Nothobranchius furzeri: one gene and its partner. Each later gene encodes a partner of the first gene's protein in a complex. Links are inferred from orthologs where the notes say so. Each region holds a gene or a part of one and is shown in the gene's direction. Other genes may lie near its edges.

Region 1 (7,470 bases):
GGCCATAACGGTGATCTTAATTTCGGTATCGGCCCAAAATTTCATATCGGTGCATCACTAGATTTAACAGTTCATGACTACAGATTCAGTTTTTTTTTTGGGGGGGTCAAGTCAACTGTATTTATATAGCACTTTACAACAACATGAAAGCTGACCAAAGTGCTTAAAAAGCCAAATACAGTAAAACCAACAGCAATTTGCTGAAATGCTGAGAATAAGTTACAATAAAAAGGCTCATAGTAAAAGAAATGAAAACATGACATAAAAACCACTAAAACTATACTTTTTATGCTAATTAACAGAAATTCTAATTTAGATAAGTTGTTTTTGTTTACTTAGAGGATTTGAGATGTTTCTGATATTACTGTTATTTCTCAAACAGAGAAAAAGATATAGAAAGTTTTCTGGAGTCAAGTAGAAGTAAATTCATCGGTTACACTCTCGGCAGGTGGGTTTGATTTTAAGCAGCTCCAAACTTGAGAACAGCTTTGTTTAACGTCATAATGTGGGAGCGTAAAGCTGCTTTTTGTGTCCTGCAGTGATACTGACACAGTGGTTGGGTTGCCCAGACCCATTCACGAGAGCATCAAGACACTAAAGCAGGTAAGCTGACAGGTTTGTGGAGCTGTTGCTGCAGGGCAGCCTAACACACCTGTTACTAAATGATTATTTTTCCCTTTGGTTTTCCAGCATAAGTATATTTCCATAGCAGAAATCCAGATTGCAAAGGAGGAGGAATACCAGAAAACTCCCCTCTCTGTTGTGAGTGGAAAGCAAATCTTTAATAATTTACCCTGATTGCGGCCTGAACAGTAATCTGCAGAGGGCTTGAAGGGTCACAGTTCTTGTCCTTTCTGTTTTTCTTTTCAGGGAGAAGAAGAAGTGGAGATGTGCTCCACTGAGCTTCTCTATCAGGGAATCCTGCCCAGTTTGCCTCAATACATGGTTGGTTCTTCAGACAGGGTCTACTTTCAGCTACTGTGAATGTTCACTAATAAAACCTCACTGTATGGTGACTGTTCAGGATCTCCAGCTGTAGATCTCAGCTTAAACTGACTCTTGTTTGGAAGTAATTATTACGTCATTATAGACATGGCTGTTCTCGGCTCTCTCCTGGGCTTATTCATCACACACAACCTGTGTCGAACTAGAATAGATTAAGAATCTCCTGAAATGAGTACCGTATTTTCCGGAGTATAAGTCGTACCAGCCACAAAATGTATAATGAAGAAGAAAAAAACATATATAAGTCGCACTGTACTATGAGTCACATTTTGGGGGGAATTTTTTTTAAATTTTTTATTTTTTACAAAGTCTGAGACCAAGCATTTCACATTTAAGACAAGTACAAGTAACAATAACAGAATAAACAACCAGGGCGCAGCAGCGCGCCACGGTCTCCAGCAGAGGATGGCGGTGTTTCAAACTCTCCCAGCGGGTGGGGAAAGCACCTGCAGCACCCCGCCACAGGCTGCAGCAGGTGATGGCGGTGTTTGAAACCCTCCCAGCGGGGCAGAGGAGCTGAAACCTGGACCGGAGCCGGCCTGCAGCAGCGTGCCACGGTCTCCAGCAGGTGATGGCGGGCAAGGGAGCTCATTCCTGGTCCGGAGCCGGCCCGCGGTATACATAATTTGGTATATAAGTCACTTTGGTATATAAGTCGCAGGACCAGCCAGACTATGAAAAAAAGTGCGACTTATAGTCCAGAAAATACGGTAATTATATTAGCTATATGAAGGAACCTGAAATGCAGCCAGTCCAAACATCAGCTACAATTATAAGATTAGGCAATGACATCACTTTAATACTTTCTGTAGGATTAGTTAGGAAACGCATACGATTTATTTCGACTTGAGTTTGACATTTAAGATCCTGAGACCTGCGCTTTTGTCTGGTCTACATTTTTCATTTCCCCCTGGGGGGTTGTTCTTTTGAACTTTTAAAAAAATGAACACACTTTTCTTGAAATAAATATTTAGAAGAAACAAGTAATAAATAAAGGTAAAATACTACAAAATAAAATGTAGAAAAGTTGAATGTAAACAAAGAAGTGTGTGTGCGTGTGTGTGTGATTAAGTTAAACGAGCTTAAATAGATGATTAGATGATGTTTTCTGTTATCTAAATGTTAGATTGCACTGCTGAAGATCCTTCTGGCTGCTGCTCCCACATCTAAAGCCAAAACGGACTCCATTAACATCCTAGCAGACGTGCTGCCAGAGGAGATGCCGTGAGTGGAAAATTTACTGACTAATGTCTAAAACGGTTGTTCTCATCAAACCCAGACCAGTCTTAGAAACTACTTTGTCCCTCATGCCATCAAACATCTGAACACCTTGCTGGGGTGGGGGTGTTGGAACAGGAGGTGCAGGAATAAAATAGCATAACACAACCTGACAGCATTATTTTCAAATCCTAGAGTCTCATTGTCTATTTTCCATCAGAAGCTAATGCAGGAGATAGGTGTAGGTAGGGATGGGTACCTTTGACATTTGAATCGATATGGTACCAATTCCCGGTACCTACGAATCGATACCGGTACTTAACAATATCAATTTTCGATACTTTTGAGTGTTTAATAACTATTCAAATTGCTTTTTTAATTAAATATATACTATTTTCCCAATATTTAACCATATTTGATTAATATCATGATAAATAACATACAACTGTTTGTATTTTATCATCGTAGTGTTGTACAAAATTCTTCAATATGAAAACCTTTAACAACAACTGTTTCTAAATGATGCAAAAACAAACCCAGCTCCATGTACTCCTAATCCTCTCCTTTCCCCTCTGGAATAACTGATGAGGACACCATGTATTAGAAACTACAAATGAAACTGAAAAATGAAAGTGAATCGGTACTAAGTCAGTACTACTGAATTCGGTCGGTGCCTTAAGAAGTACCGAATTTGGTATCCATCCCTATGTGTAGGAGACTATTTTCATGTTCAAGCTGCATGAGAAACTCAAAGTGACTGATTATAATCATTAAAAAATGGCTTTTCAGTGTTCCACACCTTTAGATAATGCTGATAAATTACCTTTTTATACCTTTTAAAAATATATTCATTTTATTGTTATCCCCTTTTTCTATCAATGCACTACTCCTGGAAACCCCCAGAGGAACCCTCCTGAGTGATTGGTAAAGTTATTCGGACTCTTTGGGTCCTTGAAGACGTTTCGCTTCTCATCCCAAGATTTTTGTCAGTTCTAAGTGGAAAAAAGCAAAAGGTTTTCAAAGAACCAAAGAAGTCCAGTTTCCTTCATTCGAACCTCCTAGGTTTACTGAAGACCAGCATACTATCTAAAACAGTTTTATTTTGAAAAGAAAACTCTGCAAAAACTGTTTATATCCAGAAAAAGTCTGTAACAGACAGTGAGGATGTAAGTGGGAGGAGCTTGATTTTTATTCCGAGAGGATCTGGTCTCCTGTCTCCCCCTGCAGGACGACGGTCCTACAGAGCATGAAGCTGGGTGTCGACGTCAACCGGCACAAAGAAATCATTGTTAAAGCCATTTCTGCCATCCTTCTGCTGCTGCTGAAGCACTTCAAGCTGAACCACATCTACCAGGTGAAACACCTCCTGTGCTTTATTGATGAGAAAGTATTTCATCGGAGGCAAATCCACCTTAACTAAGCGTGTGTGTGTTTGTAGTTTGAGTACATGGCTCAGCACCTGGTGTTTGCCAACTGTATCCCACTCATCCTGAAGTTTTTCAACCAGAACATAATGTCTTACATCACAGCTAAGAACAGGTGCTGTCATGCTTTTATTTTTAGTTTTGTAGTCGTAATAACTTCCTGGTAATGGTGGACGTAACTGAACGGTTGTCTCTTCAACAGCATCTCTGTACTTGATTTCCCCCACTGCGTGGTGCATGAGCTCCCTGAGCTGACCGCAGAGAGTTTGGTGAGTTTTCTGACTCATCGTGTAGCCTTCAAGCAACACTTCATACGTTTCCCACTCATCCCTCCTGCTGGTTGAAAGAACTACAACTGTCCTAAACAACCCCGCCATTGCCTGCTGTAGTTGGTGCTAACAATAAGCTACCGCTAGCATGAGCCAATAGCATATTCTGCAGTTGGTGTCACAGCATAAGTGCAGCTGGGCGCTAATGCTATGCAAACAAAGCATGCAACAGCGGTGCTTAGTTCCTTCCTGTTTGAACGTATTTAGGAGATGAAACTGCAACTTTGAGATGACCAGAGTGATTCTGATTCATAGGCACCCATGCGAAATACACACTTGCTTGTCTAGGGCTAAATCCCAAAATGCATAGCAACATTATGTCGATCTATTTTTGGCTACTGTAGAATATGCTATTGATACTAAAATATGCCATTAAGTAGAAATATCTTCACTGTTTGACAAAAAAAAATCTTTACAAGTCTAACAGAAACAAAGCCAGGTCACCATCAGTCTGTGATTTCAAAGCCTCCTTCAGCTCCGTTAAACAAGTGTAGGTCGGGCTGATGTTCACTCTGGTTTAGTGCTGCCATGATTAGTCGATTCGTAAAAATAAAAAAAAAACGGAAAAAACAAGACACGGCAAGCCGACAACGTATGTATAATCTATTTTACAGAGATAAAAGAGAAGCACGTACAGTGCAACATTTGTATGCACTGTACGTGCTTCCAACCAAAAATAACCCAACTTCTGCTTTTTATTGACGATCAGCAAACTGAAAAAGCTAACCATCGTATTTGCTACCAGCCTAATAAACGGCTTTTGCATAAAGCAGGTCAATATTTCCCACTAGTGTTCTTACCTGAACCACAAAATGTTGCACAGTTTCTGGGCAGTAGAGTGCTGTCCACTGTGAAACCGCTGAAGTTTCTGGCTCAAGAACCACTGAAACTAGTTTGAACACAATAGCTTCAAGGGTTAAAAACTCTTTTGTGTAGTTTCAGATTTTTTTCCCCCTTTGAATGATCTCTGGGTTGCAGGAAGCTGGAGACAACACTCAGTTCTGCTGGAGGAATCTGTTCTCGTGTATCAACCTGCTGAGGATCCTGAACAAACTGACCAAATGGAAACACTCCAGAACCATGGTGAGAGAAGTACATGTGGAAACTGTTAAAACCCATGACACATGTGTGTGTGTGTATGTGTGCATGTGTGTGTGTGTATGTGTGCATGTGTGTGTTAGTAATCTGCTTCTCTCCACCAGATGCTGGTCGTGTTTAAGTCAGCTCCCATCCTGAAGAGGGCGCTGAAGGTGAAGCAGGCCATGATGCAGCTCTATGTCCTCAAGCTGCTCAAAGTTCAGACCAAATACTTAGGCCGGCAGTGGAGGAAGAGCAACATGAAAACCATGTCTGCTATTTATCAGAAAGTCCGACACAGACTCAACGACGACTGGGCATATGGAAACGGTGAGTGAAACCCAAAGCCTCGTCCTCCTGCTCTGGATGGATGGGTCTGACTTTTATTTACAAAACAATTCAAAAGCTCTTCTTAGTTCAGTCCGTATTTAAATTATAGTTTCACGTTTTTATTTTGCTCTCATTTTACAGGAGATTTATGTAAATAAAATGCTTTTCAAGGTACACTAAGTAATAAACTTATAGTGAAACAATCATGAAACAGTCTAACGTCCAAGTCGTGTTAGAAGGAAGGTTGTCTTAAAACACATTTCCTTCTCATGGAGGGTTGTCTGTTGTAGGGGTGGGCAATATAAACGATATAAGGTAGAAACGATATAAAATTGGGTAATGATAGAGTTTTTTGGTATATCGCAATAACTCATGGCGTCATTAAGATGTGCACCCTGCTGACATTGGGGAAACAGAATGGCAGTGACTGCAAGCATGGAGTGGGTGGAGGAGGAGGCCTATATGCCTCAAGTGGCATATATTTGCCACATGAGGATATTTAAAAGCATGTCATTTTGACATATATGAACAGAGGAAAAAAATATATCGCAATATACCGTAAATCCTCTAATACAGGCCCGGGCCTGTATTTGACTCAAGCTCATCAAGTTCCACGCCTTTATTGGAAGGAGGGCCAGAATTAGAGGCAGGCCTCTATTTCTATTTGAGCAAAATGAACTAATGGTTCGCTGGAGTTTTTGACAATTAAAATTGCGCCCACATTTTCAAAGTTAAACACATTTCTTTTAACAACGGTATTTTCTGCTTCAGCCATCTCCCCCCTCTCCCTGCGCAGCGGCCGCAATCTCACTGATACGCCTGCAGCCTCTCAGAGTTCCTGCTGCTCTAAACATTAAAATAATTATTTCATTTTCTGTTCCTCACTTCTGATTACCTTCAATGGTGTCTGTTTGTTGCAACCACCAGGTACAAAAACTAACTTGCTTTTATTTGACTATTTTTCTGTCCTGCCTGTTGATTATCTTCCTGCATCTCCTCTCAATCCTAAAGAGAAACTGCTACCTGGGTTCATATATATTCACTTATGAGTTACCTTTGAACTGCAGTTCTAAAAGATCTACCGATCGCAAAAACAGCGGAGTGCTCGCCGGCCACATCAGTTAGGTGCGTCACCGAGGACAAAACAGGTGATGCGCCCTGATCCACAGCAGCGAAAAGCATCAGGCACAAATAAAAGACAGAAAACATAAAAGGAAATGAGCCGACATGAACGATCACGTGTTAAATTAGTTTTTGAGGTGGCCACACCTGATGTGATAATGTTACTGTGGCCGTGCTCAGGACGCAGATGTCTGGAGCGCGTCAACAATCAGAGTGTTGCATGCGCAAGCTGGTTAAGGTTAGGATGGGGGTGAGGGGAAGGTAAAATTGCAAGAGGGGAAAGGTCACAATTTGGTTAAATGTCCGTTTTACGGTGGGTGTCAGTACCGACGCTCTGGCACAGCATGTTGCCTCCCGACGCGCAGGAGCTTGTCACCTGCTGACAGCAGGCTGCTGTCTTTTCCGTGGACTGCATCTTGCCGGTCATTATCACGTGACAGCGACTAGTCGATGACAGGCATAAAAAGTCACTATAGTGAAGTCGACTAGTTCATACAACCCCTACTGCTCCCCAGTGTTCTGCAGCATAATCAGCACGTTCTCTTTGAACTTGATATCAAATTTTCGCCTCCTCTTCGTCTCCGCACGGTTAAAGTTACCCTCGCGGTCTATCACTGGCAAATCAAAAGTGAGACGGATGACACAACCGCCCCCCGTACTTGCTTGTTACCACATTCCGCCCGGCCACAATAAAAAAACGGCCATTATCCACCTCCGCCGACACCGGCCAAACTATGATACCCGGCAGTTAATTAAATATAGGCTAATATTAGAGGATTTACGGTATATCGTTACCGCACATGCTTCAGATTATATCGCAATATAGATTTGAGGCCATATCACCCAGCTCTAGTGTGTTGTACTCCTTTAGAAAAAATGAAAGAGAGACAATCTGAATCAGCGGGGTTGCCATGTCTGACGAGGGACAAATGTGTCCGTGTTAAAAAGACTGAAATGCATAAACG
Region 2 (8,260 bases), on another chromosome or scaffold:
CTTCTCTTGGGTCAGTTTCACACCGTTACAGGCTAATCGTCACGTCCCACCGCTTTATGAAGCCTGCGGGAAGCAGACAAAGGACGCCGCGTGGCAGCAACAGCCAATGGCAGCGCGTCGTTCCACTCCAGCATCGTCGGAGAGGAGGGACCACTGCGCAGCGAAACTAATCCGTTCTAGATGTTTCAGTACATAAAAAAATAGAAAAATCTTCCATCAACGTTTTATTTGTAGATATTTCCAGATTTGCAAAATACAAAGTGTCTGTGATAAATGTGTTTACCATGTAACCCAATTCGACCGATCTTTGACTTTTACGCAGCATTTCCCTTTTAATCAGCATGGCAAATAGTTATATAAAAATATTATTTAGGTGGTCGTTTTGCTTTTTGAAACTAGATCAGTCAACTAGATCAGTCATGGGTGCACAATAAAACCTGAACAGCTATCGTGGAGGTCAGAGATTCAATTGCGAATGGATAATAACATGTCACATTAACAAACTAATTTACATTTATTAATTAGTTTCAGTGCAAATGAGTGGTAAAATCGAAGTTAATTATTGATTTAATTAAGATGTTGCATGCATAACAGCAGTATGCATAACAACAGTGATTCTCATCCTAGAGTGGAAAATTCCAGCGTCTGCTGTCTTTGTCCTTTCAACCCGACTTCCAAAGTTGTCGCTTTTTAAAGGAGAACACTGTTTTTGAACGTTTTGAGACCAAAACTACTTATTTTGCTGCATTTCTTCAATTTCTTTGAGTCTTGTTTCTTTTGTTTATTCTAAAAAAATACGATGTTTGTTTATATGCTTTAGAGGAGTGTTCTAGTAAAACTGTGTTCTGAGTCCCCCCCCCCCCCCCTATTTCTGACAAGCATTAAAGACGTTTTACATTTTACATCTTTCTGGGTGTTGTGTTCAGCCAATCATATCGCCCTCAAGATAAAACCTTACTGGGGTTTTACTCAGACATAAATAAATAAGGCATCTACTTTCATCTGTTGCTATAAAGTGGAGTCAAACGGTCCTGTTTCAAGGTTGGATGTGGGGCTAAAACTGCCCATACACAATCATTGTGTTTTTAAAACATGACGTTTCTATTTTGCAAAATAAGTTTAAAGAAAAAATAAATAAATAAACATACAAGCATGCAGCAGAAAGGTTTGTAAAGAGTGAGGGGGCATTTGGGCTTCAGTTTCGTCCTTATGTCCCTGTCTATGGATTGGACATTAATAATTTACTTTTACAATTTTTGTGTTTATTTAATGTAAACTTCAAGCATAGGAAGATTGATGCCTATCCTGCTGGTTAGGATAGCATCATTTTGTTTCTAATGAATTAAAGACAAGTATTCTGTCTCCAGAGAAAAATGTGCTCTGAGGTCATATGTACCTGCAGGCTTCAGAAACCTGGAGCCTGACCTCACATTTCAGTGTGTCACTGTCCACAGCCTTTTACATTCCTTTAAAACAAGATAAGTAAGAGATTCAAGATATTTTTTTAACCAACACAAAATTACATAAGAAGATATTGGCCTGGCCAGCCAGCCCCACGCTTCCCTATGCTTCCTTATAGTTCTCTGTGTAGAATTACACAGTGAACAAGTCTGGCAGGCCAGGCTAGGGATAAACGTGACATAATGGGAATGGCCTGCTGGAATTTACAACAGCTTTTAACAAAACATGAAAAACTGATATGCATCTTGCTAATGTATTTTTTTAAACTTCCATTCAGTCTATAACTGAAACCAAACAAGACTGAACAGAAGAAGCATTATTTGCATTCATTGAAACTTTAACATTGGGTGTTTCGGTTTTAAAAAAATGTCATTGGTGCATGCATAAAGTTGGCTATTTTTCATTCAGAATAGAAACAAATTCGTTCTTGAAAATAAATGCATCGTCATGATGTGAGGGTGGAGATGGTGGACCAAGTGTGGTGGAGGGTTCCAGGAGGCAGAAGAGCAGGCACGGATGAAATAAAAATGGTTTAATTGTAGAATGGGAGAGACGGACAAAACAAACATGAACAAACAACAATGATCCGATGAAGACAGCAACAAGGAGGGAGGTATAAATACACAGGGAAATCAGGAACACATGGGCAGAGTAATGAGGGACAGGTGAGAACAATAAGGTTAATCAAGGCAGGAGAGACACAGTCAGGGAGGCCGGGGCGGATCATGACATGCATAGGAGATGAGATATTTACATTTTTGCACAAAACTCAAAAATTAATGTTTTTTTTAACATTAATGTAATCCAGCGGATTCAGCCTTTTACTATATTGCAAATATTTCAGCAAAATCTCATATTATTAACCCTTTGATGCATGAATTATGCAATCTTCAACCATGAATTTTTTTCCATGAATTTCATTCATCTTTAGGTGTGAATGAAACAAATTTCAACAAATATTTTTTGAAACATTTAATAATTTACAAATGGATTATTACACGTCCACCTCAGTGGACAGCGTGCATTCTGAACATGAAATATGTTGGCTTGACTTACTGAAGTCCAAATGGAGGGGCTCAAATACAATAAAGTCTTCAACAGCTGTGCTTAATGCAAAAACAAACAAACAAACAAACAAACAAATAAATAAACAAGCAAAAAAAAAACTATTTTGAGTACCTGTCCACTGTAGTGACCATTATGCATCAAAGGGCAATGTAGCTATCCCTTCCTTCAAATGATCTAATCAGTACTGTATTTCTTCTGGCAGTCCTTTTAAAAGGTATTGTCATTAGAATGTGTTACTGTAATAAGAAAAAACACTGATTAAAAACATTTTCATGTATATATGTGACCTCTGTTGTCTCTTTTGACCTTTATATTTGCTGCTATGTAGAAAATTGGAGAGCCATGTTTTTCTTAATACAACTAAAAGCTTTTATTTTCTCATAAACAAATCTTAATTAAACACAGAACAACTGTAATGTGCCTACGTAAAGCTACGTTTTCATCATACTTACTTAAATAGGCTACCGGCTTACGTCACGGTTACTTTAGCCTCCCCGCTCTCTGATTGGACAACGTGTGTTTACGTAGCAACGGTCCGGAAGATGTCGCTCGGGCCAGTCCTAAAAAACTTCCGCCTTAAGTTGTAAAGAAAACACAGCAGCTAAAAGCCAATCGACGGGAAAATCATCTTATTTAAGAAGTCAGCCCAAAGGTAGATACGAGTACGCCTTTAGGACGCACACATAAATGCACGTATCCGTCATGAAGCAGTTTGTTGACGTGTTTTAGCGCGTTTGTAAAGACAACCCTACACATTACTTGAGCTAGCACGGAAGCTAACGCTGTTCACTGCTACCATCGATCTAGTCGGCTAGAGGCCTCGAGTGAATATTATAAAACCGCGTAAAGTATGTAATGTTACACAGACACTTGTTAATTGATTGTAGTACCCCGATATCACAAATAAATCGGGTTACTCTGTTTTACCCAACACCGTTTAGTTTTCCGTTCCATACTTCTACTAGCTTGTAGCATTACCTTAGGCTATCATTTGATTTGTTTAGCTTTCCAGTAAACCAGCAGTCACTTCAGACACTCCATTAAAAAAAATAATATGTGTCATTTTCTCCATAACAAACCTGGACAATCACAAATACACAACATGCTGAAAATACATCAAATTCGTATGATTTACATTCAGCTCTCCTAATCTATTCTGTCAAGTATTTGTCAGTTTTAACTCATTTGCCTACGATGCTATAGTGTGTCCAAATAGTCCCTGTTGTTCAGAGTGAAGTTGTTGTGTAGACATTTAATCCGTGCTGCCATACATAAAACGTATGATTGTACCACTCCCCTCCTTCAGATTAAACCAGAATACAAAGGATCACTTCCTCATTATTAACCAGAACAGGATAGATTAGGCGGTCAGTACTGGTGAGTGTAAAGATGTATGTGAGGGTGTGTAATGACATGTTTGTGATAAACTGACATGATTTAATTTTATGGATGTTCTAATCGTACATGTTGATTGCTAATCATAAAAATAATTGATTTAAGATTATTATTGATTTTCATTCATAATCTTGTTATTGAACAATCACATCATTAGAAAGAGCATATTTAGATTGTATTTTTTTAAAGCCTGGTTTATCTGCAGCTTCTTTTGCAAATGTTTTGTGTTCTATTATAATGAAATTTATCTGGGTGAGGAAGTAGTGCTTATTTTTGTGTTTGAATAAGATAAATAGTCAGGGCAGTCGATTTTCAAGATTGTTGCAAAATCATGTGACATATCCAGTTCTTATTCAAATTTAAACGTCTAACTACAATTATCAGGGATGTGTGATCATCCAAACCCATGTTTAAACCGAACTGTGACAGATTAACTACTGTGATTTAATTCAGTCACATTGTAACTGATGCATGTTCTGCATTCCATCAACGTAAAAAGAAAATATGAGCAGATATAACTTCATTCATTTCCCAAAAATGTCCTTTTTCTATTTTATTTTTCAGGCTCTTATCTCTGGAACTTGCTTGGTTTCTGAGTGTGTGTGTGTGCGTGTGTGTGTGTGTGTGAGAGAGAGAGTGAGTGTGGCTGAGGAGCAGTTTCCTCTTCATCATTTTGACAAGAGCTACTCCTCCACTGGAGGATGACAATGGAGGAGATGAAGAATGAAGCGGAGACAAACTCCATGGTATCCATGACGCTTTACGCTGTGATGTATCCCGTTTTTAAGGAGGTAAGCCTTCCAATGTCAAATATGTTGCTTTATTTAATAAAAAAAAACGAATATGATGAGTGACAGAATTTAAGGTTAATGTATCAGAACAATGTGGGCACACCTGAAACAATTAGATTATTATGAAGCAGTGTAATATATTTTGTCACTCATTTCAGAAAGCGAAGCACCTAAATAGTCATTTCACATAAAATGAACCATTTCAAGCCTATAGTTCTTGTAATTTTGATTATTGTCTCATACAGATAATAGAAACCTATATTTCAATGTCTCCAAAAATGTGAATATTGCATAAATATTACACCACTTTTGGCAGGAAATGTCATTTGTTCTTTATCACATCAAGTCAATATGAGTGTACCCGTCGTCTAATTCCTACTGAAATGTAACCTTGCACTGCAAGATGAATCCTCGCGAGATTTGGAGTTTTCCAAACTCAGGAGAATCCATCTTGTACCGTTCCAGTTCAAACCGTCCGACCTCCGGCCTAAAATAGGCCGGACCAATCGTGTGTCAGCACTACGGCTGAATAATTAATTGCATATGCAATTAAATTGCGATGTGACAAAAGGAGATTTTCTAATCGCAAAGGCTGCGATTTGACTGGCAGCAAGTGGTTAGCGCAATGCTAATATACATAGAAAAGCCCATAGGGATGCTAATGCTAATATTGCAGATTACATTCTTACAAATTATGGCTTAGGAACGTGCCAAATATTTACATTTGGACACTAATAAAAAAGTAAAAACTGCCATTAATCAAATAAGTACAGACAGATATTTTAGTAAAGCTCAAAAAACTGTAAGAGACTTAAACTCCACAGAGTTTTGGCTAGCAGCTATGAACGTAGCTGAACTATGGAAGCTCTGCATGGACCAGACGTCAAAAACTGTAAACACAAAAGACCAATAAATGGGACACACTTCTTTCCTACAAATCAATTTTCACAGTTGATGCTAATACCTATGCTCCTACAAGGGATGTGCTCCTGGCTGCAAAGCATCGCAACTTCAAATGCAAAATGTTGTTGTTACTTGTTAGTATTTATGTAGACAAATAAACTTGTTGATATGATATGTAGATATATATGTAGATACATAAACTTGTTCATATTCAGTGCAAGTTACATAGGGTTTTTTTTGCTTCTGTTGAAAAATATGAGAAAAGCCCCTTGAGAAAATAATTGTGAATTAAATCGCTATTGCAATATAGAAAAAAAATCACAATTAGATTATTTTCCTAAATCGTTCATCCCTAGTCAGTACTGTGCTGTAGGGTGGGACTTAAGTTTGGTTTAAGCTTGACGCGTCCGCGAGGTCCGCACGGCCCCACGCGGTGAAATTGCATCATTTTAACAACCACGCCCCTCCACCGCGCCTCCGCACGGCCTAAAATTTCCGCACCGCGCACCAAGGAAATTTTCTAACCACGCGGTCGGTCGGATGCGGAAAAACATGGCGGACCGGCAAGAACTAGTTATGGCAGAGGTTCGTAAATACAGACATTTGTACGATTCAGCTCTCAAAGATCACCGTGATAAACATGTTGTTAATAATTCTTGGAGAGAAATAGCTCGCACTGTCAGAAAAGATGAGGACACTGTTAAAAAATGCTGGAATGCCATGTTTTAAACAACAGTAATTTTTACTTCTACTATGGTGTAGTGTTGGATGCATGCCGTAGAGCTCCATGTTGCCCCCTACAGTTTGGGAGAATATTGGCTCACCGCAGAGACATGCCGCATGAACCATAAACGCTGCGAGTTGTGAAGCGCGTTCCATCCGCAAGCTGCATCACCAAGCGGAAAGTGAATGCGTCAAGCATAAACCAAGCTTTAGTTTTGACGATAGAATCAAGCGCTCGGCTTAGCAAAACAAACACAGCGTCGGTTGACGCTAACAGCAAACATTAATCACAACGGCAACGTGGTGTCCACGGCTAAAAATGGTTGCGGTCGGACGTCTTTAATTTGTTAAAACAAATGTAACAGAAAATTCCCTTAAAATCCATTTAGATATAATTGTACATGTCTACAGTTACATGTATAAATGTTATTTTGACAACTAGATACGTGTAGTTCAACATAGAGCATGTTGTGAATCAGTTGTAAGTGTACATCCACTAGGTGACTTCATGTACGTGTCAAAGCGAATGTCCACTAATGATATTCTATTACAGTAATGGTATTTATTAGATTTTTTTACAGTAATAAACAGCCTAAATTTTAATTATTAAACGTCCAAATGATACTGACTGAAACACGCTTATGTCACGGCCAGAAAAGATGTAGAGTCAACTTTGTAACGGAATGGAATAACTAATTTTGGAACTATGATGGAATGTTCGAATAACATAACCGTGTGGCTGTAAACATCCCAGAAAACTTGATAAGCTTCGCGGGCCGGATAGTGAGAGGGGGGGGGTCGGGGGTTGCTACAGTTTCTCGTTGGTATCAGCAGAGGGGAGGCTTGCGGTTTGTTTCACTGCCGTCTGTTGTCCGTGTAAGTGGAGAAGTTAGGGCTGGGAAGAGGGGGTGGAGACAATGCATAGCCTGGCTGGGGAAACACTGCCCTTTGTGCACACATTCTTCTTGCAAAACCGGCAGAAATCACTCAAAGACAGGGTAACTGCTGCGTGAGTGAATGAATGAAGCTTGAGCAAGTTGTTGTTTTCCAGGCACGCATGGTAAATTCGTCATTTGAGCTGTTACTGTGATTGGCTAAGGACAAAATATGGTAACGCATCCTCCAATCAGCTCTAAATATTCTACCACATAGCCCTCCCTCTTTCAGACGGTTTCTGCGGCAGAGATTCCAGATCGAAACGTGTAGACTCGACACGGGGCGAGGCAACACATAGAGATCTGGCTGTTGCCAGGCTAACTGAAATTAGCTGGTTGCAGGAAACCCGAGTGATCAAAAGCTGCAGGTTCACTGTGATTACATTGTGGTGGGTCGACCGATTAAACATGGGCCGACCCGCTTATAGGTCCGTTATAGGGAGTCTAAATTGGATGATCAGCCAGTCATCATCATGGTTGGACATAAGGCATGGCATGTTTTTCGTATCAGTCATACTGGTTTTAAGATATTTATTTTTATTTTTTTCATACAGGACTGTTGTTATCCACATTATCTTCTGAAAAGAAAAGAATTACTGCAGTTGATTGGCTTTAAAAAGCTTATTTTACTGTCATATGAACTGCATCATTTTGTTTTTTTCCATGTCTATATGGTAAAGACATAATCCCTTGAATATTTGGTCTGTCATTTCCTCCTGTTTCGACTGCATGGCGGATGCGCCGTGCTGCTGAAATGTTTACGCTTCAGCAGGACATAGCTGGGATCCAAAGTTTTCACCATCATCTTGAAGCTGCCTTTCTCTACTGCTGGGATATTCAGTTCTAGGCCTGGAGAGCTGGTGTCCAGCCTGTTTTTGTGGTTTCTCTGCTCCAGCATACTTGATTTAGTGCTTGAATCACCTGCACAGCAGCTTATCAGGCTCTGCAGAAGCCTGTTAATTACCTGCTGACTGAAATCAGGTG

What was found. The genes of interacting proteins can lie anywhere in the genome.
Region 2: strip1 (region 1) and programmed cell death protein 10-B share a complex: the UniProt entries of both Homo sapiens proteins name them as parts of the core of STRIPAK complex. The link is inferred for Nothobranchius furzeri from reciprocal best matches to the Homo sapiens genes STRIP1 and PDCD10.

What each region holds. Positions count from the first base shown.
Region 1 is NC_091743.1:46,750,395-46,757,864, forward strand, and holds part of strip1 (striatin-interacting protein 1 homolog), read left to right. Parts: intron 1-382; coding exon 383-448; intron 449-539; coding exon 540-603; intron 604-690; coding exon 691-762; intron 763-870; coding exon 871-945; intron 946-2,131; coding exon 2,132-2,229; intron 2,230-3,450; coding exon 3,451-3,577; intron 3,578-3,661; coding exon 3,662-3,762; intron 3,763-3,849; coding exon 3,850-3,916; intron 3,917-4,954; coding exon 4,955-5,059; intron 5,060-5,178; coding exon 5,179-5,383; intron 5,384-7,470. UniProt on the Homo sapiens protein: Plays a role in the regulation of cell morphology and cytoskeletal organization. Required in the cortical actin filament dynamics and cell shape. Part of the striatin-interacting phosphatase and kinase (STRIPAK) complexes.
Region 2 is NC_091758.1:24,839,116-24,847,375, reverse strand, and holds the start of programmed cell death protein 10-B, read left to right. Parts: upstream 1-2,743; 5' UTR 2,744-3,181; intron 3,182-4,488; 5' UTR 4,489-4,625; coding exon 4,626-4,715; intron 4,716-8,260. UniProt on the Homo sapiens protein: Promotes cell proliferation. Modulates apoptotic pathways. Increases mitogen-activated protein kinase activity and STK26 activity. Important for cell migration, and for normal structure and assembly of the Golgi complex.